Linked DNA regions of Lytechinus pictus. The protein of the gene in region 1 interacts with the protein of each later gene in a pairwise test. Links are inferred from orthologs where the notes say so. Each region holds a gene or a part of one and is shown on either strand. Other genes may lie near its edges.

What was found. The genes of interacting proteins can lie anywhere in the genome.
Region 2: the proteins of prefoldin subunit 3-like (region 1) and prefoldin subunit 5-like interact in binary tests that used the Drosophila melanogaster proteins (3 or more experiments, as listed by UniProt). The link is inferred for Lytechinus pictus from reciprocal best matches to the Drosophila melanogaster genes mgr and Pfdn5.
Region 3: the proteins of prefoldin subunit 3-like (region 1) and prefoldin subunit 2-like interact in binary tests that used the Drosophila melanogaster proteins (3 or more experiments, as listed by UniProt). The link is inferred for Lytechinus pictus from reciprocal best matches to the Drosophila melanogaster genes mgr and Pfdn2.

What each region holds. Positions count from the first base shown.
Region 1 is NC_087248.1:15,691,617-15,699,431, reverse strand, and holds the start of prefoldin subunit 3-like, read right to left. Parts: upstream 3,013-7,815; 5' UTR 2,701-3,012; coding exon 2,594-2,700; intron 2,155-2,593; coding exon 2,088-2,154; intron 1,705-2,087; coding exon 1,606-1,704; intron 708-1,605; coding exon 569-707; intron 1-568. UniProt on the Drosophila melanogaster protein: Binds specifically to cytosolic chaperonin (c-CPN) and transfers target proteins to it. Binds to nascent polypeptide chain and promotes folding in an environment in which there are many competing pathways for nonnative proteins.
Region 2 is NC_087247.1:32,562,499-32,569,574, forward strand, and holds the start of prefoldin subunit 5-like, read right to left. Parts: upstream 3,007-7,076; 5' UTR 2,891-3,006; coding exon of another isoform or gene 2,832-2,890; 5' UTR 2,655-2,831; coding exon 2,574-2,654; exon of another isoform or gene 2,209-2,573; intron 657-2,208; coding exon 554-656; intron 1-553. Other genes in the region: uncharacterized protein LOC129257427, read left to right, coding at 2,832-2,890, 4,152-4,210, 4,581-4,766, 5,177-5,271, 5,966-6,202. UniProt on the Drosophila melanogaster protein: Binds specifically to cytosolic chaperonin (c-CPN) and transfers target proteins to it. Binds to nascent polypeptide chain and promotes folding in an environment in which there are many competing pathways for nonnative proteins.
Region 3 is NC_087252.1:13,651,357-13,658,986, reverse strand, and holds the start of prefoldin subunit 2-like, read left to right. Parts: upstream 1-4,624; 5' UTR 4,625-4,663; coding exon 4,664-4,806; intron 4,807-7,630. UniProt on the Drosophila melanogaster protein: Binds specifically to cytosolic chaperonin (c-CPN) and transfers target proteins to it. Binds to nascent polypeptide chain and promotes folding in an environment in which there are many competing pathways for nonnative proteins.

The sequences.
Region 1 (7,815 bases):
CAGTGATACTTGATTACTCTTATGTCCAAGTTTCATGAATCAGATCCATAAACTTTCAAAGTTATGATGGTAATTCAACAGATACCCCCAATTCGGCCAAAGTTCATTGACCCTAAATGACCTTTGACCTTGGTCATGTGACGTGAAACTCATGCAGGATATTCAGTGATACTTGATTACCCTTATGTCCAAGTTTCATGAACTAGGTCCATACATTTTCTAAGTTATGAGGACATTTCAAAAACTTAACCTTAGGTTAAGATTTTGATGTTGATTCCCCTAACATGGTCTAAGTTCATTGATCCTAAATGACCTTCGACCTTGGTTATGTGACATGAATCTCAGGCAGGATGTTCAGTAATACTTGATTAACCTTATGGCCAAGTTTCATGAGCTAGGTCCATATACTTTCTAAGTTATGCTGTCATTTCAAAAACTTAACCTTAGGTTAAGATTTGATGTTGACGCCGCCGCCGTCGGAAAAGCGGCGCCTAGTCTCACACTGCTATGCAGGTGAGACAAAAATTGTTGGCTAATCTTGAAAAGGCTCTGCTGTGGTAAAGGATACTGACTTCAGTGGTGGTGTACTGGTCCCTGAGGAAGTCCAGGTCCTTGTCAACCTGAGTCTGGCTCTCTGTTGCTGCTTTCAGGTTCTTGGAGAGGAGAGCCTCGGCATCGGACAGTTCGTACTCCAGCATCACATTAGCCTGAAGGAGAGAAGGAGGGGCATGCACACGTATGCAGATTATACCAATTTAGGTCTTTAGTACATTGCACTGTTAAGAGCGCCCCAAGAAAATCACTACAAGATCACCACATTACCTTGAGCACCAGCAACACCTGACACAGTACAATCCTCTCCAGGACAGCATATAAGTTGCTTTTGGGGAGACTAAGTTATGTAAAAAGTTCACTTATTCTTCTGTTAAGTGCTGTCCCCATTGCAAGAGACTACATTTGCAAAGACAAGTGTAGTCAAACTTGGGTCATTCTTGCTATTCATGGTTACAGGAAAAATTACAGAGAACATTTGATCAGAGTGGAAACCCCTTAGCAAAAATGTTACATCACTCATTTCTTTTCCCCGTCACATTGCAGAAACTCTCTAAGGCTTGCCAAGAAGCATTCGCCAATGGAGTAGAGACATTTTTTGCACTGCAGCAACAAGCAAAGATTTGGAGTCGAGGGTCTTTCCCTCTGATGTGATGCACAGCAAGATGTTGCTACAGGCGTTTCTACCAGGCCTCTCCACTCATCCTAAAGCTTCACTAGTTGGTTTGCAATCAAAATTGAAAAATAACATAAGCTCTTAAATGAATAAATTCATATTCCTCCTAGAGTATTTCACAATGAGTTAGATATAAATTAAATCTGTTTTATCATGCTTAAATGCCTATGCGTACTCGGTATTCAACACATAACCTCATTGATGACTACAAGGTATTGCGTGACTGCAACTGAACATGATATGACCAATGCACTGATGCATGTGTTATACACCGCATGCAAGTGGGAAATACAGTTTGCTTTTGAGTAAAAACTTAAATCTTTGAAAAAACACCCTATTGAACTACAAACTGATACTGGTGGTGAACCCTGACTTACCCCTAGCCACAGACAAACTTTCTTGGTAGGAAGAATAGTAGCCTTGGCATATACTTGGTCTGATAAAAGAAACTGTGTCTTTAACTCATCTTCAGAACCCTAGGAGGACAAAATGAAATGGAACAATTTCGTGGCAGCATAACTGAGATATGAAATATATTTACATCAATCAACTGCAGAATTATTACAGAATAATTTGTTACAAGTAACATAACATTTTAAAGAGAGCGTGTAACATTAAATAATGAAAATTCTTTAAATAAGTTAGATAAAAAAAACAATGAAAACAAGTTTGATGCTAAACACTGAATACATAACATCGATCATGCATGCTCTTCATCTTTCAAAAAGGATTTCTTTTAATACAAAGTAAAAAAAAAGTGCTATATAATGTATACATCATGTAATGTACAAGAGTTTCTTTTTTGTTTAAAAGAAATTTGTTTTATATGGTAATTGAAATTAATGAAGGTTATATTTACCTGTTTACTTTGTAAATGTTTGACAATGTCTAAAGTTGTTCTAATATCAGGAATCTGGCCCTTTAATCTGTGATCAGAGATAGTAAATGATTAAAATATCTTATTCAAGAAAAAGAAATTAAAAATTAATCATTCAATACCATATTCCTTGGAATTTAAGTATAGATTCACTCAAGATGGCTTCTTGAGCAACCAGAGAAGTTCTATTCTTTTAATCACTTTTATGCAACCAATCGAAAATAAAGAAATTTAAAGTGGGTGTCAGAAATCAGTCAATACTTTTGCATAAATACGTTTCTTTCTTTTTTCTCAATTATTATCGTGATTTCAGGTGGCTTCATACATCTACTTGTCATTCATAAATTTCATATATGCAGCCATTAAAAAAAAAGGTCAATGGACTCCTGAAATCTATGGTAATGAAAAATTCATCAACAAGCCAACAATTAAAATATGGGATTATTAATTATACCACTGTATGTACAGAAAATAAGAGACAAACGCACCTTCTCTTTTTCTGCAATAAATTCATTTCCATGAATTTATACTTCTGATGCTGTTCTTCTAATCTCTTCAACACAATCTCAGCAGACTCATTCTGGGGTTTCTGCATAAAACTGTCTACATCTTCCTGTAAATCAAATTGAAAATATGGAGGAAAACAATTCGTATTTTCTCAACGTCTTAATTTTTTATTTTCATCTTATCTTTATTTGTTTTCTAGGGTCTTATTCATTTTTTTGTACTTTCTCAAGTCTCAAACTCTATCTTTCTTCAGATTTTATTAGCATGCAGCAAAGAAATTACTAAATTTTAAAATCCGGAGACCTCTGCAATAGCTCAAGATCTATAAAATGTGGGATGAACAAAGTTTTCTAAGACCATTTTTAAAACCTTGCAGGCTTAATTGTCTTGAATAGTAATGAGCCAAAGATCAGGGCACAGCAACATTGTGCTGTGAAATAGTGGCAAGGGCAGATTGCCAGACAGACAACTGAAACTAAAGTGTTTTGTTTGTCTCGCTGAGCAAGTTATCAGCCCATTGACATAGAGTACCAAGGTGTGACGTCAGTTGCCACTTGCCATGGTGCAATGGCGGGCTGGTTCTAAACAGAGTCGCAGCAGATGGTCGTCTGTACACATCTTGGCTCATCTGAAAAATAGGGTGCAAGCGATCATTCTGATAGCAGCCATTTTCTCCTGTGTAAAAACACATGCTTTCATTCCGGGTTCATTTGTTTAGAACCAAGCCGCCATGACACCATGGCAACTGATGTCATGGCTTCGGTACTCTATTGTGCAACTGCTTTCCATGTCCACAAGATATAACTTTTAAAAAAGCCAAGCCCAAGAATAAGATTGTGCTGGTCACTGCCATCATCATCAGCACATTCTTCTTTCTTTCAATTCCCAAAGTTTGATTTTTAAAACATTTGCCGATTTTTAAAAACATGTTGTAAATGAGGAATGATTCTGATCTTATCATATTTTTTTCAAGTTCAGACAAATATTAAAATCTGTCGGCACAGGAAATGAGTTATCAGTTAGTTTTCCAATTCCAATTTCCAGGCCTGCACTCCTGCAGTAGGGATCCCAAAACGAAAATCTATTTTTTTTAATCTATGTTTAAAAGCATTGAAAAGTACCTCACCTGAATCAGCATACATGTATTCAAAAACCCCAAGTGAATGACTTTTAGTGTTCCAAAGAGATCTAAATATCTGTTAATCTGAGGCTAAAGTTGGTCCGAATTGTGACAGATTTGTGTACAAATTTAATTTTGAAATTTCGTCGACACATATTCACAGAGCTCGGCACTGAACGAGGGATTGTGGGCGTGTCCTTTCTCGCCTCGGCGTATTGTTACGTAAATACACAACTCGAACGAAAGTGCGTTCACCGTCCCAGTTAGTCTCGGATCCGAGCTTATCCAAATAAACAATGATTAAATAACAACAAAAAATAGAAAGAAGAGAAAAGAGAAAATAAATGGCTCAAATGCAGTCGTTTGGTGACGGATAGTATGCTGTGACCTCTTGCTGATATAAGGATTAGATATGACAAGTTTTATGCCATGATAACTAAAGCATGGGGGGCGGGGGCACTCTGACTTTCAAAATAATTAATTCTTTAAACATCTATATCTAGGCAAGGGAGGGTCCAGGATTTTCCAAAGGGGGGGGGGCACTATTAGCGGCGGCAGTCAAAAAATTTAGGGGGGCACCAAAATCTTTGACAAAAAAAGGTTATCAAAGGGGGGGGACCGAAAAAAAAATTAGCAAAAAAAGGGTAACAACGTCCCCCCATAGGCAGCGGGGGGGGGGGGGGGGGGGGTCGTGTCCCCCCTAAATTTGAGGTGGGGGGACAATCGCCCCCCCCCCTAATTTTTTTGTTGATAACCTTTTTTTTTGCTTGACAATTTTTTTTCCTGCGTGCCCCCTAAATTCCAGTGGACCCCCCCCCCCTAAAAATTTCAAGTGGTCTCCCCTAAAATTTGGGTTGATAAACTTTTTTTTTGGTGGGGGGCCTATGGAGGGCATATTTTCCCGATGCAAATTTGATAAGCATTACAAAATGTTTTTACAAAAAATTCAAAGTCATTTCGTCCCTAAAAATTTACAAGCAAAAAAATTGGGCCTATATATATATATATATATATCCTCACTTTCAAGGGGGCATGCTTGGGTAAAAAGGGCATGCTAATGTTACAAATTACAATTTTGGCTCTCGATAATTATGCCCCTTGGATCCACCAGTAATCTAAGGGGAATTTTTTGTTTTTAGTTTTGATATGGCTACCTTCTCGGAGGGCGTCCTCGCCGCGGTAGCTGGATAGTGCTGCAAAAGAGTAGGCCTTATACATCTTTTGCAGCATTAACTGACACTCCGAGACTTATAATTTAACCTTATACTTAAAAATGAATAATACAAAATAAAACATAACACTTGTTTTTAGAGAAAGTTGATGTCAAAATATATTCAGTCTGGGGCATGAAGACTTGGAACTCTGCCCCATATCATTGTACTTGCCTCGCTCGATTTGTATCATAATTTTTTTTTTATGTTTCCACAATAAAATATAGATCTAAGTACAATGGCCAGAAATAATAGTACGAATAAACTAGCAGAATTTGTATCATATCACCCATATTATTGAACGCCAATAAAGGCAGTCTCTAAAACTTGTTTGCTTTATCCCACTTTTCCACTAAGATCTATCCCTTTTGCGTGTCATATAAAAGCAATTTTGTGCGCAGATCTAGCGTAACGGTGGGACCACATGCAGTCATTAATAGGTCTCTTTAATTTTTTTTCAACATATGATGTCTCATGCTTTCTTTAAAATTAATAAATTAGAATCCTTGTATATGGCCCTGAGAAGTGGGGTGCTCGGGTTGTTACCCCCAAGATTTATTTTTTTTGGGCTGGTGGTGCGTTTTTTGTACACGTACGGCAGGGGGAGTGGAGCGAAGTTGGGGGAACAGAAAAGGGGCACTTTTTAGTGCTTTTAGAAGTGGGGCATTGAGCCCGCGCCTATCCCCTGGATCGCCGCCCCTGCACCAGAGGCAGCACCCCCTGGAAATCAGTTTAGTATGATATTCGACCAAAATCAACTTATCTTTAGAGAGATAATCTCTTTCTTTTGGCTTTTTTTTCAAAGCCAGCAACCCCTCTTTAAAAGATTTCTTTTCGGGCAATCCTCATGATTATCTCAAAAATTTGAACATTTTTTCTTCAAAGCATCTTTATAGTGACGGATGGTATAATCATATTACTAGCAGTGGCGGTATGGCCAACCCCCCCCCCCTCCCAGTTTTTTTTTTTCAAGTAGTTTAAAACAGGAAGAAGAATTACATAGATTTTTGTACCGAATTATTTTCATTAATGATTTTATTGGTAAAAATACAAAAAAAAAAAAAAAAAAAAAAAAAAATCAATTTTTCATGTTTAACCCCACTTTCAAAACTATTCCTCGGTTCCTGGAAGAATGGAGAGATGGATGGAAGGAGAGAAATAAATAGGATGAAGGGTGGATCCAGCTTTCGCCAAGGGGGGGGGGTTTCTTTCACCCATATTTTTCCCCAATCGGCCGCGCAAAGATGATTTATGTTTGTTTCTTTGAATAAAATGTCACTTCTTAGCTTTTGTCTTATAAATCAACATAAATATATAATATCATAACTCTTTTTTATATAATGCGAGCGCAAAGCGCGAGCTAATTTATCATTAAAAAATATGTGTTTTTTCCCCAAAGTTTGAAATTTCTGGGCAATGTTTATCATGAAAAAGATGTGTATGCAACTAAATAATTACTAAGAACGCGAAGCGCGAGCAGAATTGAAATAATAGGCACTTTTTGTAACTTAAACAGGATAGGTATATAACTTAGCAATTGATGCGAAGTGCGAGCACAAAATTGGAAGATTTAGACCTAAAAACAAGACATGTCTATTCATGTATTTTAAATCATGCATGGAAAGGATATCAAATTTCCGATCTTTGTTAAAGCGCGAGCATAAGATTTTTGTTTACGTTTTCAACTGATCAAAAAGGTACCTGTTAAGGACTGCTTATTTCACTTAGCCATGGGGAGACGTTACATATTTCAACAATAAAATCATGCAAGCGCGAGCCGATTTTTTTGGGGGGACACTTCTACATAAAGAATGGAAAATTTAAATCAATTGTAACCATGAACAGGATCGTCGCTATAAAACAATTAATGCGAGCGCGAAGAGCGAGCGGAAAAAAAAATCGAGATTTAGACCTAAAAATGGGACACTCTATTCATGTTTTATATATCATGAAAAGGATGAGATAAGAAAGAAGTAGTAGTGCATGGGCGTTATCGCCAATAGGGGGGGGGGTGCCAATTCGTCTACGGCAAACTCGTCCACTCACTACATGGTCTATTTTCATTAAGTCTAATGCCAATCTGTCCATCAACATTTCGTCTAACAGCCATTGGTCCATTAACCATTTGGTCCAATCATCACTTCTTCTAATAACCATCTCGTCTATGACCATTTAGTCACATAACCGGTTGGTCTAATAGCCATTTTATTTTCATAACATTTATAGTCCAATTAGATGAAATGGTATATGGACCAAATGGCTTTTGGGTCCACTGGTCATTAGACGAAATGGCATTATACTAAATGAAAAAAAGACTATGTGGTGAGTTGACGAACTGATGGACCAAACGATAGTAGACGAGTTGGCAATTAAACAAATTAGAAATAAACCGGGGAAGGGGCCGAAAAATATTTGCTCTGCTCAAAGTTAATAGGGGTAGTCCTAACAGTCACTTCTTTATTCTCATTAAACAGCATACACAAAACACAATATATAATAATCTTATAGCCCCTATAGTGCGAGTGAGAAGCGCGAGCTAAAATATCTTTGAAATTTCATGTTTTTTATCCTCAAAATTGAACATTCTGGGCAATGTTTGTGAACTTGAACAATATGCGTATTTTAATAAAATTTCTGCGAGCGCGAAGGAGGAGCAAAAAAAGAAAGAAAAGAGAGAAATATACATTCTGGTCTGATCGAAGAGGGGCTTGCTATAATGGCGGTTTACAGTTCAATCAAAATAATGCGAGCGCAAAGCGAGCTAAAAATGTTTGAAATTCTGACCATAAAAATGGACATTCCAAGCACTTTGTGTATGAACAGAACAGAATAGGGCCTAAGTAATATTTTAGGTACAAAGTGGTAGCACGAA
Region 2 (7,076 bases), on another chromosome or scaffold:
AGTTTCAGGTTGATCCATCCAATGGTTTTCTTTTGGTTATCGCGAAAGTAAAATTTGGATAGACGGACAACCCGAAAACAAAACACCTCCAGCACAGCCCAAAATGGGCGGAGGCATAAATAAATAACCCCACATGATCTTTGACAGATTTCAGCACAATGGAATTCTCTACCGATGGCTTTACAAAATATTACCCAGCTTGAGCAATTCAAAGTACAATTAAAGACCCAACTCTTTCAGAATGTTTAACTAAGTTAGGTTCAATCTATGTTTTAATATTCTTTGATGTTTATAATATAGAAAGTGGAGGATGTGCACACATTGTGTGCAGGAATGACTGATTGAATCCGATGACCGGGGTAGACACGTCGTTCCGATTAAGCGCCATATAAAAGCGGATTATTATTATTATTAATTATTATTATTTGATATTTGATTTTAAATCTACAATTCTAACCATATTTCCTGCTTTCCTCACACGCAGAGAACTGTAGGTGTTATGCGTCTATTAAGAACTGTACTATTATTATTATTATTTCTATTTTCAGCTCACCTTCATTATCAGAATTTAATTTGCCTATGCTTTCTGATGATTCCATAAACCGAGACTGGGCCATCTTGAGCTGCTGCAAGGAACCCTGCATCATCTCCACCTCCTGCAATAGAAAGAGAGACAAATATAAATTTCTCTTTTTCTCTTTAAGGGTGCCAAGTCATGAATTGAATCTTACCAATTGCAGTGCAGTGAGTGCACCATTTCATAAAAGTTGCTATGATAAAAAGTCTTGCTGGAATGTCAACTACCATGACAACATTGAAAGTTTTGCTTTTTGATTGACTCTTCCAATGAAAGGTGATATTCCAGCACGAGTTGCTATCATAAGCCACTTTTTTATGAAATGAGGCCCAGTGGGTGTTTCACAAATATTTGAGTGTGACTAGAAGTCACACTCAAATTCATAGTTGAATGCTGTATAAAACACATTGTTAGACAAATCTGCTCAGAGGAATTGCACTACTGCACATTAATCAAGGAGATTGAGTGTAAAATATCAATTGTTCCTCGACACTAAGCAAGTCAAGCTTAAGTCTTGTAAGACACCTTTCCCCCCCTGGAATGACAACAGTGCTTTTAAAAACCAATCCAGGGCCATCAACTGTCATGGTCAGGGATCACGTTGATACCCTGTTGACTGGCTATGATGACCCTCTCATTGGCCCTTTCTCCTCTGAAACATCTTCTATAAAATGTGGCCTTGCTCTACAGAGCATCTCAAAAAATTACACACTGCTGATGTCAACATGACGGTTAAAATGGAGCACTAAAAATGCAATTCATGTTCACTCATGCATTAATTTCAATTTAATAATTCATGAAATTTACTCAAACAACCAAAACTGATCATGATTGATCATTAATTTACCACAACACCCTCAACTTTGCGAGTTCCAAAGGAATCGCCTACCAATAACCACTCACACGTATTGCGAGGTTAGTATTAGTATACTAACCTCGCACCACGAACCGCGTTTGGCAGTGGATTTCTAACTAGTGGGTCGCGCGTGCTGGGATCTCACTTCTTGGGTCCACAACACACGACTTCTATGGCTTGATTTTTCTGTGCGCGGTGACATGTAATGAACCCTTGGGTGACCAATAACTGGCCTCAGTCAAGTACGACTATACTCTGTAAAGAGGACTGTAATAAACGGAAGAAGAAGAAATTGGAAGGCTAATTCCAGCCAAGCCTAATTTTCTTGCCCTTTATTTAAGTGGGCATTGGTCACTCAAGCATGAATAGATTTGCTACTTTTTGGTGTCATTTGAAAGTTGACATTATTTGCTTTCCATCTAGAGCTCTATAAAACTTTTCCCCCAAAGTGATATATTTTTATGTGGCAGCCATTTCAAAAATTTCAGACGCACTGTATATACCTGTTACAAGATTACTTCAAACTGGTAAAATCAAATGATTTAATTCAGTGTGGATCCCCCCTTTTCGACGATGATCTTTAAGACAGTCAATTAGACTTTAATCTCTGCGATGAGGGCACCCAATTCCATTGTGGTGGCAAAATAAATATGCCCACAAGTTTTGGTCAAAGGGTATGTATGGTAAGCACAAATAAGGAAAGGATTTCACAATAGCAATGCGTAAATTAATAGGATCAAGGGCATTGAGGCACCGCCACCGGGAAGAGCCCAGCACACACACAGTGTCACAGCCACAGGACACAGGGCCCCGGCGAGCTATGAATAGTTACCGAAAGCATGATTTGACCAATAAATTCATGTTTATCAGACATTAGTTCATTTAGTTTTAAGCTGTTCAAATATTCTCCCCCCCCCCAACAAATGCTTTCACCACTCAGTCATATTCATAGCAAACCACGCACAATCAATGTGTCATCAACGGTGATTTAACTCCTGTATAATTCCAATTAATCTATCACAAAATTGTGAATATCCCTATTGAATATGTGTGTATTAGAATTGCATGCGTCAGTTATCGCATTGGCCTTTTTGCGAGTAAGTGCTTGTTCAAGTCAGTAAAAAAAAATTGAAAGTTTACCTGATCTAACTGTTCTTTAAGACCATTTAGCTGTGGAATCGGAAGCTGCATTAGGTCCACTTGCTGTCCTCCTTCAGACATGGTTACTTCTTTGATCGCAACTCGTAAAAAAAACTGTAACACTAAGTCAGTACCAAAGTGACTGAAACTGAAAGTGAAACTGTGACTACACTCCCAACTCAACTTCAAAGTTGCAATCCGCGCACGAGTCGTGAGAGATGTCTAACTACGAAAGCCGGACAAACTAAACGCACAAATATGGCAGAAAACAGTGCTAAATCCGAAACTGTGAAGTCCAGAAAGGAGCGTAGAATGCAGTAAGTAACAACATATTTTAAGTATTTTTCCAAGCCTCAGTCATCATCAAGTCAAGGCATTTTGACACAGCATCATCACCGATCATGATTTTTCCAAAAAATAATCCAGGCACCACATATTGAATTTTGTGTAAGTAAGGACATGTAAAAATTGTAATTTAATTTAACATAATGCAAGCAATGCCAATGCAATGGCAATGTTGATGGTGTTTCCTGCATTGCATAGTTTACGTATATTCAAAAAGCATTATTAATATGTTTAAAAATGGGAATATTTTAGTTGTTGTAATGTTAGTGTAACGTTTTTCCATTCTTCCTCAAGTTTTCAACTTCAAGAAATAATGAAATGTCATGTCGCACTATATAAGCTTTTGACTCCGTGCCTCACCAGCGGCTCATGAATAAACTTGAGTCATATGGTATTACAGGTTGTATCAAGACCTGGAAACACGACTGCATAAGTAATTGCATTTTTCCAGTAGATCCAGTAATAAAGGTAATAATCCTGGCCGTAGTCGTAGACAGTTTTGCACCAGCCGACTTTGAGAGAATTTCCCCACCATATTAAGTTAACATTAAAAGTCAGATCTAATAATTTGCAAATTAGCAAGTCTCTCAATCACACCTAATGTACCTAGCGCTTTTAAGAATATCGCGATCGGGAACGTCTGTATTTCGGTTAGATCTCGACGAGGTCATTGTCAAATTCTCATTCAGACATCACTTTGCTTGAATTGGTTTCACGGTAGTTTTTTTATGGAATGAAATTAGCGTCCAGAAGATCAGCCTGCGGCCGCTCACCTGTTTGTTCACAGCATAATGGCATAATTTTGGTCACTAACTTCAGACCATATAAATATAATAGGGGAATCCCACTCCAAGCGAAGCGATGTCTTGACTGAGAATTTGACGTCGAGATCGAAGCCGAAATACAGCTGTTCCCGATCACGATAATCAGAAAAGTGGTGGGTTTATTGACCTTGAAATGTGATTGAGAGACTTGCTATGACATGTGCGAACAATCTGATTGGGAAATCCTTGTGAAGTCAGCCGGTGCGAAACTGCATTAGCATTGGCCATTCCGACTCCTGAAGCTAGTCAACACTTTTGTTTTGGTAGATATTTTTTGTAAAATTCAAGTCAGTTAACTATTAGGCCTACCCTTTTTTAATACATCTATACAGATTACAGTTCATTGTGTGATTTAACTGAATTGATTTTGTAAAGTTTCCTAAATAAAAATACTTTTTTTAAATTGAAGATGGTGGAGTGAGCATCAGCCACAGCAGAATGAACAAGATAAACAAGGTGATTCCACAGGCAAGTCATAATTTGATGATTCATATTAATTCAATACCCTTATTTTAATACCCCCCCCCCACCCCTTCCCATACTGATGAAGAAATGTATACGTAAGTAAAATGGAAACTTGAGCAGAGACTGGTCTTTAAAAAAATTTGAAAGTGAAGCCAGTTATATTTTTCTTTTGGCAGGTACCAGTATTTTGAGCCCTAAAACTGGTGAACTTATGAAAATTTTATATGATTTGTCTGCTTAATGTTTTGTTTGCATTAATAGGAAATACCGAATTATGATTTTACCATGCCATCAGGTTTTTATAACATTTTATCCAATATTTGTCAGTTTATAGTGTAATTAATTAATTTGAAATAATGTATTTCACCCTTAGGATCAAGTTCAGCAGCTGTGAAGCCTCCAGTAAAAACAGAGAGTGTGGATGCCCTGGAAACCCAGGGGAAGAAGTCAGGAAAGACCTCAGGAAAAACCTCAACCAAGAAGTTTTATGTGCTCTTTGTTGGTCAGATTCCATACAGTGCTACAACAGAGGATATAACCAAACACTTCTCTAAAGCTGGTAAGAAAGCATCGTTGTAGCGGAGTCGTCTAAGGTGCCTGACTACACCATTGCAGTCCGGAGTATGATTCCCGGCACGGCCGCAAAAAAGACATGTTATCTCTAATGCTGTTTTATCTTGCATCAAATAAATGATAATGCAATGTGTTAGTAATACCAGCATGTGCACTTAAAAGGAAAAAGATTGGACATTGCCTGAAAAGCTCAATTGAAGGGTTTGGAGGGGGGGGGGGGGGTAGTTAGTTAGATATTTTTTTGAGTTCTTGTAGTGTGTCCCATTGAAGTAATGTCTGAATGATGTAATAATTGAATTTTTAGTAAAGGAGGATATTCAAAATCATAGCAATATAGAATTTGGATTACATGGCTGGCTTAAATAATGTTTCATATTTGTCATTTTCACACGGCAGGTGAATTGAAGTCTGTGAGGTTAGCAACACACAAAGACACTGGTAAATCTAGAGGATTTGGCTACATTGAATTTAAAAACAACAAATCATACATGGTGAGTTGAATATCTATTCCCTTGATAACAATGAATATCAGTTCTACTGTGGGGTACATTATTTCACGACATGTTTTATGTCATTCAATTCATTTAAAGCTCAGTTCGAGTTCTGGTTTAGAATTATTGATGGAAAATGGTTGGAAACAATCCTTAAGTGTTTATCGTATGCCAGAATGCTTATTTACAACAACATTTTTAACAATTCTAGCTTGCTTGAAATGAATTCATTACCACATGCGTTTCATGGTGTAGCTAACACAGGAAACAACATTTGAGACCACACTGTATATAAACAGCATTTTTCAATATTTTTGTGATCTTCCTTTGCTCATTACTCTGTAATTATATGTTTTCCTGAAAAAATGTTCGGCAGATATCATTTGTTTATTTTTGTATAATTCTGTTTAAGTTTTGTTCAAATTCTGTGAACACTTTATTTTCTGTTGTTACCAGTATCAGAGTTTATGAAACACAGTATCAACGTTCTTTTAATATTCCATTTATTCTTTTGAAGTGGTCTGGCGAGAATATATTACGTTAAATCTCTGTTTGCATTTCCCAATTTTCATTGGTTTCAGGTTGTTTATTCTGGGAGATACAAAACTATCCAAAGATGAATTAACCTTGATATGATCTGAAAAAAATATTGTCACATTGGTATGCTACATAAATTTTTTTGTCTGCTTTTCAGAGTGCGTTAGCAATGCATTTGAGTAAACTTCACGGGAGACCCATCAACGTTGAGATCACCTCTCCAGGACGTGGTACCAGTCTCTTCAGGAAGGAAAACCTGAAGCGTAAGAACGAGGAGATGGCTCGTTTTCGTGGACTCAAGGAAGGAGACGCTGCAGGTGGCGCTATGTGCATACCATCGTCCAAACCACACCCTGGTAACAAGAAACAGAAGTTCAATAAAGGCAAGAGGTGACCTTTGAAACGGTGTCGTCATGGACAATAGACTCTATTTGGAAGAATCATTGTGGAGTTACGACCTGAGCTGTCATGGCTTAAGCTGCATGGTCATGAAAATGATATTGGAATTATCTGCACATTGAAACTTCAATGAATAGCCAATATTGGCTATTGCTTCAGGAAATATTTTAAAGAATGGGGAATATTAATGTTTCAGACATAAAATTGAAGTAAAGCAACATGGCGTAGAACAAAGACATTATAAAAAAAGGCTCTGACCCATTTCTAGATGAAACCATATTGTGCAAATTTTTTAGAGATTTAAAAATCAAATGATTCTTTCAGGAAAATAACTATTAGAATACTAATGTCAACATCAGAATTAATGGCAAGCAGTTAATATACAGTGATGGCCGAATATGCGGGAAACCAGTGTGTTGGCTCAGTTGGTAGAGCGTCTGTCTCACAACCAGGAGGTCGGGAATTTAAATCCCGGTCGCGTCAGACCAAAAGATGTTTAAGTATGTGCTGCTACCCTGTTTGCCGTTTAATGATTAAAGGGATAGAGCCTCATCGATATGGCTGCACAGCAGCTGCCGGGCTCATGATTAATTGGGCAAAGCAAATTTTCAGAGTATTTCATTTCATGTCTATTTAAAAAAATAAAAATTGGGATGGATTTTTTTTTTAAGCGTAGTGAATGGTTCAATTATTTTTATGTTCTAAAATGAATTTGCTTTAATACATGTGAAGAGGAATAAAATATTAAAAATCATCAATTAAGTTTTAATACGACCATTCAGAACTTTGGACAGGAGTTTGCTCCGTATTTTTATCTTCTCATCAATTGATATGTTTAATTCCAAATTTGGATTGTTGACCAATCATAA
Region 3 (7,630 bases), on another chromosome or scaffold:
AATTCTTCTCTTGGCATTGGTGAGGTCAGCCTTAGGTCAACATGAGGCAGTCTTAAATTTAGTATCCAAGTCATACATGTATGTTTAGGGGTATGATGTCTATTGCTTGTCAACTTAAGTCTTTTTTTTGTGACATTCTTGATAAGAAAAGAAACTATTCATTTGTTTACTTTCTTAAGAAAAAATGACAGATTCCTTGCTTTCCATGGCCATAGTATCAAGTCATATTTCAATTATTCTTAGACAGATTTCTACTTTACTGCAGAAAACAGTATGACATTGCTCTGCAGTTAAATTTCAGTAAATATTGAATCGAATTGAGGTGAATTAAATTTGTTCTGAAACTGTCAAATATTTATAGTCAATTTGCTCTGTCAAGAAATCAATTTATTATTTTGACATATAACCTCATTTAGGGTACATGAACATTTCTTTATGAATTGATACTTATAATCTCTTGATTATCCATAAACTCTTTTCTTGTATTCTTGGCCATGGCCTGCAAGGCAGTCATAATTCCAGTTTCTATTTGCCATTATGGAGATGCAATATTAAAAGATAGTACAGTGAGTTGATTGTAAGTGTATTGGAGAAGAAGAATATATATATTTTTGATGGAGATATGAGAAAGTTTCTGTAAGAGAGAGAAAAGAAGTAAATCTCTCAAATTATGTGTTAACCCTAAATAGACTGGGCTATTTTGATGCCTAAGAAGACTGGGGGGGGCTGATTCAGCCCCCCCCCCCTATGATCTCGGCCGTCGACCGCGCGATCGGGACGAAAATTGGCACGTGCGTTACCCATGGCATAATCTCCAAGACTGTATGATCAAATTTTCTGAAAAATCTCAATTCATTAATTATGCTAATTTATGCGTAAAATAAAAGATTTGCTCTAATTAATTAAATAAGGCCTCTAATCTGCTAATTTTTTATTCACCGACTCTTTGTAGGATTCTGATCAAGTGTACGCTTAAAAAAATTCAATGTCACAATTCTTTTCTTATGTATTTTATTGTTTTTAAAATTTCTTATGTATTTCATTGTTTTTCCACTTTTTGTTTTTTATTGCTTTTTCAATGGAAATCGTCCGCTACTTTATTCTGACCATAAACAAGATGAAATTAATTGAGTTTGATTAGTAAAATTGAAAATAATGATACATTTATGAATTTTGGCTAAAAACACAATTTGCATTGGATTTGTACACAAATTCACGTTTTTGAGCAATTTCGGATCGACATGCACTTACAAAATGTTGCGTAATTTCGGAACCACGTACCCAGGCGTCGCAAATTTGGTCTCAAAAGTTGCGCAAGACTTGAAAGAAAAAAGTCATGGAATGGCGCGGCGCCAGCTTTTTGCGTTACAGATTTATTGCGAAAAATGTGGAGGGGGGGCTGAATCAGCCCCCCCCCCCCCCAGTCTTTTTAGGGTTAAAGTAGCCTACTGTGCAAACCCTTCACTCAGGTTTAATAAGGGTCTGAATATCGAGCCCACAATGGCTTGTGTACTGAAGGCCCTGAAATTGAAACAGCAAGTTTTATATGTGCTAGTCTTGTGTGAATACCCACTTGTTGACAAAGTTCAATCAGGGTTTGTGTCAAATTAGTATTACAGAGATTATTACCGAAGTAAGAGTGTATTACTAAAGTCTGAGAGTGTATTACTAAAGACTTATTTCAACACATTTTTCGGCCATAGAAAAAACCTTTTCCATGTAGGAATGGGTTATTTTAGTTGATTTTCAGACTATATATCAATTCTCATATGGCACCATAGGTTGCAACAATGTGTGTTAATGCTTATAGCTGCTTGGGCAACAAATCATTGTGGGGTTTTTAGGAAGGTTTGTTTTGCAAGAGATGTGTTTGGAATTGGATTCAAGATACATGGATACCATAGCACTGTGTCTGAAGGGATAGACTAGTCTTCCTGTCTTCACTAACCAATCCTTTTAAAAGATTTAGGGAAATCTATTGGCCTTTTAAATCATTTAATCTCCATTTCTTTACAGGATATATTATATTGCCATTATTTCTCTGTAAATCCGTCAATAAGGTGGAAAGGTATTACGATGCCTTCAGATTCTTCTTTGAAAATGAGGACCAAATTCTGAATTATCATTGGGAGTTGCATAAATCAAGAAGCTAGAATTTTATGAATTAAATGATTCAATTGTTTATTGTTCAATTTATTATTTTATTGTTCAATTATTTGATTATTTTTTTATCATTATCATGATCATTTGTATATTTGATTATTACTTTATTATTCAAATTTATTATTTTTTATTTTTTTGTTAATATCATTATTATTCTTATTGTTTTATTATTATCATTGTTATTGCCATTGTTAATAAATGTAATTTTCTCGTTATTGATTTATGTATTCTTCATTGATTGATTGATTTAAATATTTTTTTTGGGGGGGATCTTAGTTGCTATCTTTCAAATGGACAATCACTTATTACCACTTGAATTTTTGTTTTACATTTCCTTTAATATCGACCCGTTACTTCAGCAATTGAGTTGGATGTCATGTTCACCTGCTTAATGATATGGCTTTATTATCTGTGTTCTGATTTTTTTTCTCATGATTTATTTTTTTGTATATTTTTTTTTGTTCAGGAGAAAAATGCAATTTACAAACAGGCAGTTGCCAGGTATTTAGAAATCATACCTGATGAATAACGCACCTTCACCTGTGATATTTTCTTATTGTTATTGTTACTTTTATTTCCAATTGTTTGGAAATATATATTACAGTGTATGCTGGAGATTATAAACAGAAAAATAAAAACAATTTTAAAACATGTAAATGTATATGTTTGAGGAAAGCTTCCTTATTTCATGTTTTGTTTTGATTTTACCTTTTTAATTGAAAAATTGTTCCATGACATCTGCTTCAGCGACAATTACTCTGCTCTAAATTCCACACTTCAACCCTGGGTTCAAAACTATACCTACCCTACCCTAAATCTAACATCAATCCTATAGATTGATAATAATATAGGGTATTTATATTGCGCACATATCCACCTTGTTAGGTGCTCAAGGCGCTCCTATATTACCCGGCTAAGCTAGGCGTTCATAGCGCACACAGCTTTTTAAGGAATTACTTCCTACCGGTACCCATTTACCTCACCTGGGTTGAGTGCAGCACATTGTGGATTACTGACAGCACAAATGCATTGTGGATTACTGACGTGATGACGTCACAAAAACTTCTTTTTTGCATTTCAGCCTTTAGATACCATATTCTGGTATAGCATGATGAAAAACCCCCACTTCCAAAATTTGGTGGAAATTGGTCCATAGGGTCCCAAGATATGACTTCATGAATACAAATAATTAGCCCCATTGAAGTCAATGTATTATTGGCCTGGGCTGGTTCCTAACATTTAGAACAGGCCAATTAACATTGACTTCAATGGGGCTAATTATGTATTCATTAGGTCATCCTGGGGCTCCATAGACCGATTCTCACCTAATTTTGGTTGGGTTTCTCATCATGCTCTACCAAAATATGGTATCAAAAACGCTGAAATGCAAAAAAAGTGAAAACTGATGACGACACACTTTGATACTTTATTGGAACCCGAACCGTACGCCTATTGTATTGAACAAAATTAAGCCCGGAGCAATTGTCGCAGGAGCAAATGTCGTGTCACCGAAAAATGAGCAGGTGATATGTCTGATTGTAAGGTCTCAGTCTACATCCCAGGAAACAATTACACAGTGCATGGCTCAGGCAAATTTACCCCTGAAACGCCCCTAAGAGCCCTGCTCAATGTGTCATACTCCTCTCCCTCTCAGAACACTAATTATTGCAAATATATAACTGAATAATGAAAGTCGATGCATTTTCACCAATGATAATTTATTCACAAAATTTTCAATGGCCATCCCCCATCCTTCCTCAGTGTTTGAACGATAACTAAATCACATTTTTTGTTATTAAGACCATTAACTATCCTGTTTGATAATTAAGTTTTAAAGAAGTAATGTTAAAGAATTTTGTTTAAACTTGTAACATTGATTCAATTATTGCAAAAAATGTGAATGAAGATGAAAAATATATGATCTCTATTAGTATTCCCTCTGATGTGATGGATAAGCCCCTTTGCAGTTGTAGTTGAGATAAAATGTTTTTAATCACTCTCAGGGGCAGTGGAACAGGGTTTTTTTTTTTGGGGGGGGGGGGGCTAGCTGACAAAAAAAAACTAACACAGCCCCCTTCCCTGATTCCATGGCCCCTTTCACTGACATACACATTTGTGATTTTGATGATTTTTCATTATTCCTTTTTTTAATATTCTTTTCATCACATCCACTGAACAGTAACAGAGGGTTCAAATCATTAATCATCCCTGGATAATAATTTGGTATTTGGCAGTAGCCCAAATAATCATGAGCCAAAATAAAAGTGCACAATATACGACAAACGGTTTCCAAAGCAAGTTGATCACTGATGTACTATTCTAGACGCCTGGCCGACGACACGTCTTTCTTTATTAGGATTTCGGGACGGGAAAGCTGGTTAAAAATAGTGTTCATCCAGAAAAAAGGGGAAATGTCATTTGAGAAAAGTTGGTCATGAGTATATTCGGAGAGCCGGCCCTCTACGCTGATTAAACTACATGTCATGTCATCTCGGTAAAAATGGCAGATAAGAAAGGAAAAACGGGCAATGCCAAGAAAATGTCACATGAACAAATTGTGTCAGGCTTCAACCAGTTACGGCAGGAACAGAGAGCACTCGTTACCAAGATTGCAGAACTAGAGTCAGATCAAAATGAACACAGGTAATTCTACACATGTCCGAGGGATATTATTTGTGAAAGTGCCATGACGGGGATTGGGAATCGAACGACCGCGACCGTGCCCCCGAACATGCCGAAGCAGCCGGGGTGACAGGCAGCTTATCCCCGCTTCGCGGTTAGCATGTCCATGCCAGCCATGGCCATGCCAATGTCAATGGCAATGCCATGCCCATGGGCATGGGGTGGCTATATGCCTATGGCATTCAGACATTGGTATGGTGCACGGACACGGTGGGGAAAGAGTTCCATTAGAGTTCGGTATATGCACCCCACTATTTTTATTTTTTGATAATCTCCTGTAGGTAGGGACAACGGTACATTCGGTATTTGCTCTATCAAAATCCCTACATACCATTGCGAGTGCGTCGAGCGCGTCCGTTGATCCTACGAAGCCCCAATAATGCATCCCTCTTGACTGATAATTTCACCCTAAATTGAGTTATTTCAGGTAGCTATGATATATTTGGCATTAAAAGGATCGGTAATTATTTGTCAGTAATTATTTAGTATTCTATATTTTCGAATGGCTTACCTCTACTTGTTCTTTGAATGGGAAAATATCGTACTTTGTCCTTGTATTCCCCATGAACTGCAGAGTTTGTGTGTGTATAAAGTCAATGGGGAAATTAAAAGTTTTGCACACGCGACCCGTCACCATGACGTCACTAGCATTGCGTGTGAGCGAGCTAAGTTTGATTTGGGGGCGGCGCCCTCCAAAATTTGACCAATAAAAATTCTGCATTTGCTGCATCTTTTGGGATTTTCCCTAAATTTATGTCTCAGGGACCGTCTTGGAAGTGCGTGCTGAGCTGTATAATCTTTTTGAAGGACCCACCCTATTCTACTTAAAGATATTCAATTAAAACATCTTGGGGCCCGTTTTGGGACTTTTCATTCTTAAAAAAGATGGTTTTGAGACGAAGTCTTATATCTAGATTAATTTAAGAAAAAAAAATTGTGAATTTATTGTTAAATTTTAAAATGCAAAGCAAAAACCTCCATATGACGTGTACGTGACGTAATTATCGTCATGAAGTTGAAGATCGCGCGAAGTGGTGGGAGGGGCCTATCGCGAACGTAGACCATGTATTAGTCTTGATTCAGGCAATTTTTATGATTTGTAAAGTTCGTTGAAACTCTGTAACGTTGTGAACGGATATCATCCAAATAAAATAAATGAAAATAATTTTAAAATGTGAAAGGATGAAGGCTAGCACAATCTTTCTCTTAGGAACATTCAGCCCCCCCCCCCTCCTCAGTTACAAATGTTAATCACGTGTAATCGCCGTGATACAAGGAGAGATGTTTTGGAAGGTCATGTGTGTGTGAGATATTGCACATGGCATAATGGCGGCATATACGTGTGATACAGGGAATTCTGTACAAGGATGTTTACACTTGTGTGTGAGAAGGTCTGTGACCGAGATGGTGGCATGGGAATAATGGAGTTAGAGTGGATTAAAAAACTACGTGTGTAAAGCATGGACCTGCACGTTGCAACTGTACATTCGCTCTGGGGGCTAAATGCCGGGGCTAAATTAAAATAGGGGAATCCCCGGTGTGTATAGCTTGATTAGTAATCAATTGTTAAGGCCTACTAAAGTATATTTTGTTTATTAAAAAATCTAAGAAATCAATGTTTTAATTTGCAATGTTTACGCACAATATATGTATATATGCCCTCTCACAATCACACACATTTAAGATTTTATTTTTAACAGTAACATACTGATTGTTGTAAAATTAGGATACAAAAATTACTCAACGAGATGTCAGTTATTTTTTTATTTTCTAATGTATAGGCGGAGGGGGGGGGGTGGGTTCCCTCGGTCCTGCGCCCTCGCTCTTAGCAAAAATAAATAAATGGATATTAAAAAAAAAAATCCTAATTGGAGAAAATTTTCCCCAAAACGTACGTATCTCCTATCTCCTGAATTACAATAATAATTTCTGCCAATACCTGCAAAGAATCCGTTTACACCCCCCCCCAAAAAAAAAACCCTGAAAATTGGAGGCCATTTATATGATTGAGCGGAGAGTTGGAAAAAAATGTTTTCGGTGAGAGACCCCCCCCCCCCCCCCCCCCGCTGACTTTTACATCCGTAATCTGCTTTTTTATGGGAACATTTTTCTAACACTTCGTCTATCATGCCCTGTCATGAGTGAAAATATAGTTCAAACAGGGATATACAATATCCCTGGTTCAAACATGGACCTTTTAAAGCGTTGACAAAAAGTGACAAAAAAGTCACGCTATTATGGGGCTTTTATACCAATGTAACCCGATATACATGTAAATAAATTAGGTATCCAATGCGACTGTCAAATTGAATTTACATCTGATTTCAAGGGATCGATGTGCCATAGGCCTATATTGATTTTTTTTTCACGGGGAGGGGGCCTACATAGCTCGTTTACATTTCTCGATTTGACTCCTTTTTCCGCCATGAGTCTCAACTTCCTACATGGGATATTCAGGGAGGATCGATGGGGTGGCCCTTAATTACCCCTTCTATATAGCTATCCCAGTAGGGGTCAGGGGTTGGATTCTGAATTAGGGTGGGGGTAAGGGTATCATCATGTAACAACGATCAGACGAGAATACTCACTTGTTAATTATTATATGAAAAGAGTTGCCCCCTCCTTCGGTGTCCCTGGTCGGTGCCGGTGAGTTTTCCAAAAGAAAAATATTCTGAAGTTTGCTATGGGGAACTCTTCGTCAATTTTGAGATATGACATTATTTCACTTATTTCACAAGTCATAATCATGAACATAATACAAACAAATATTACATCAGAAGAATTA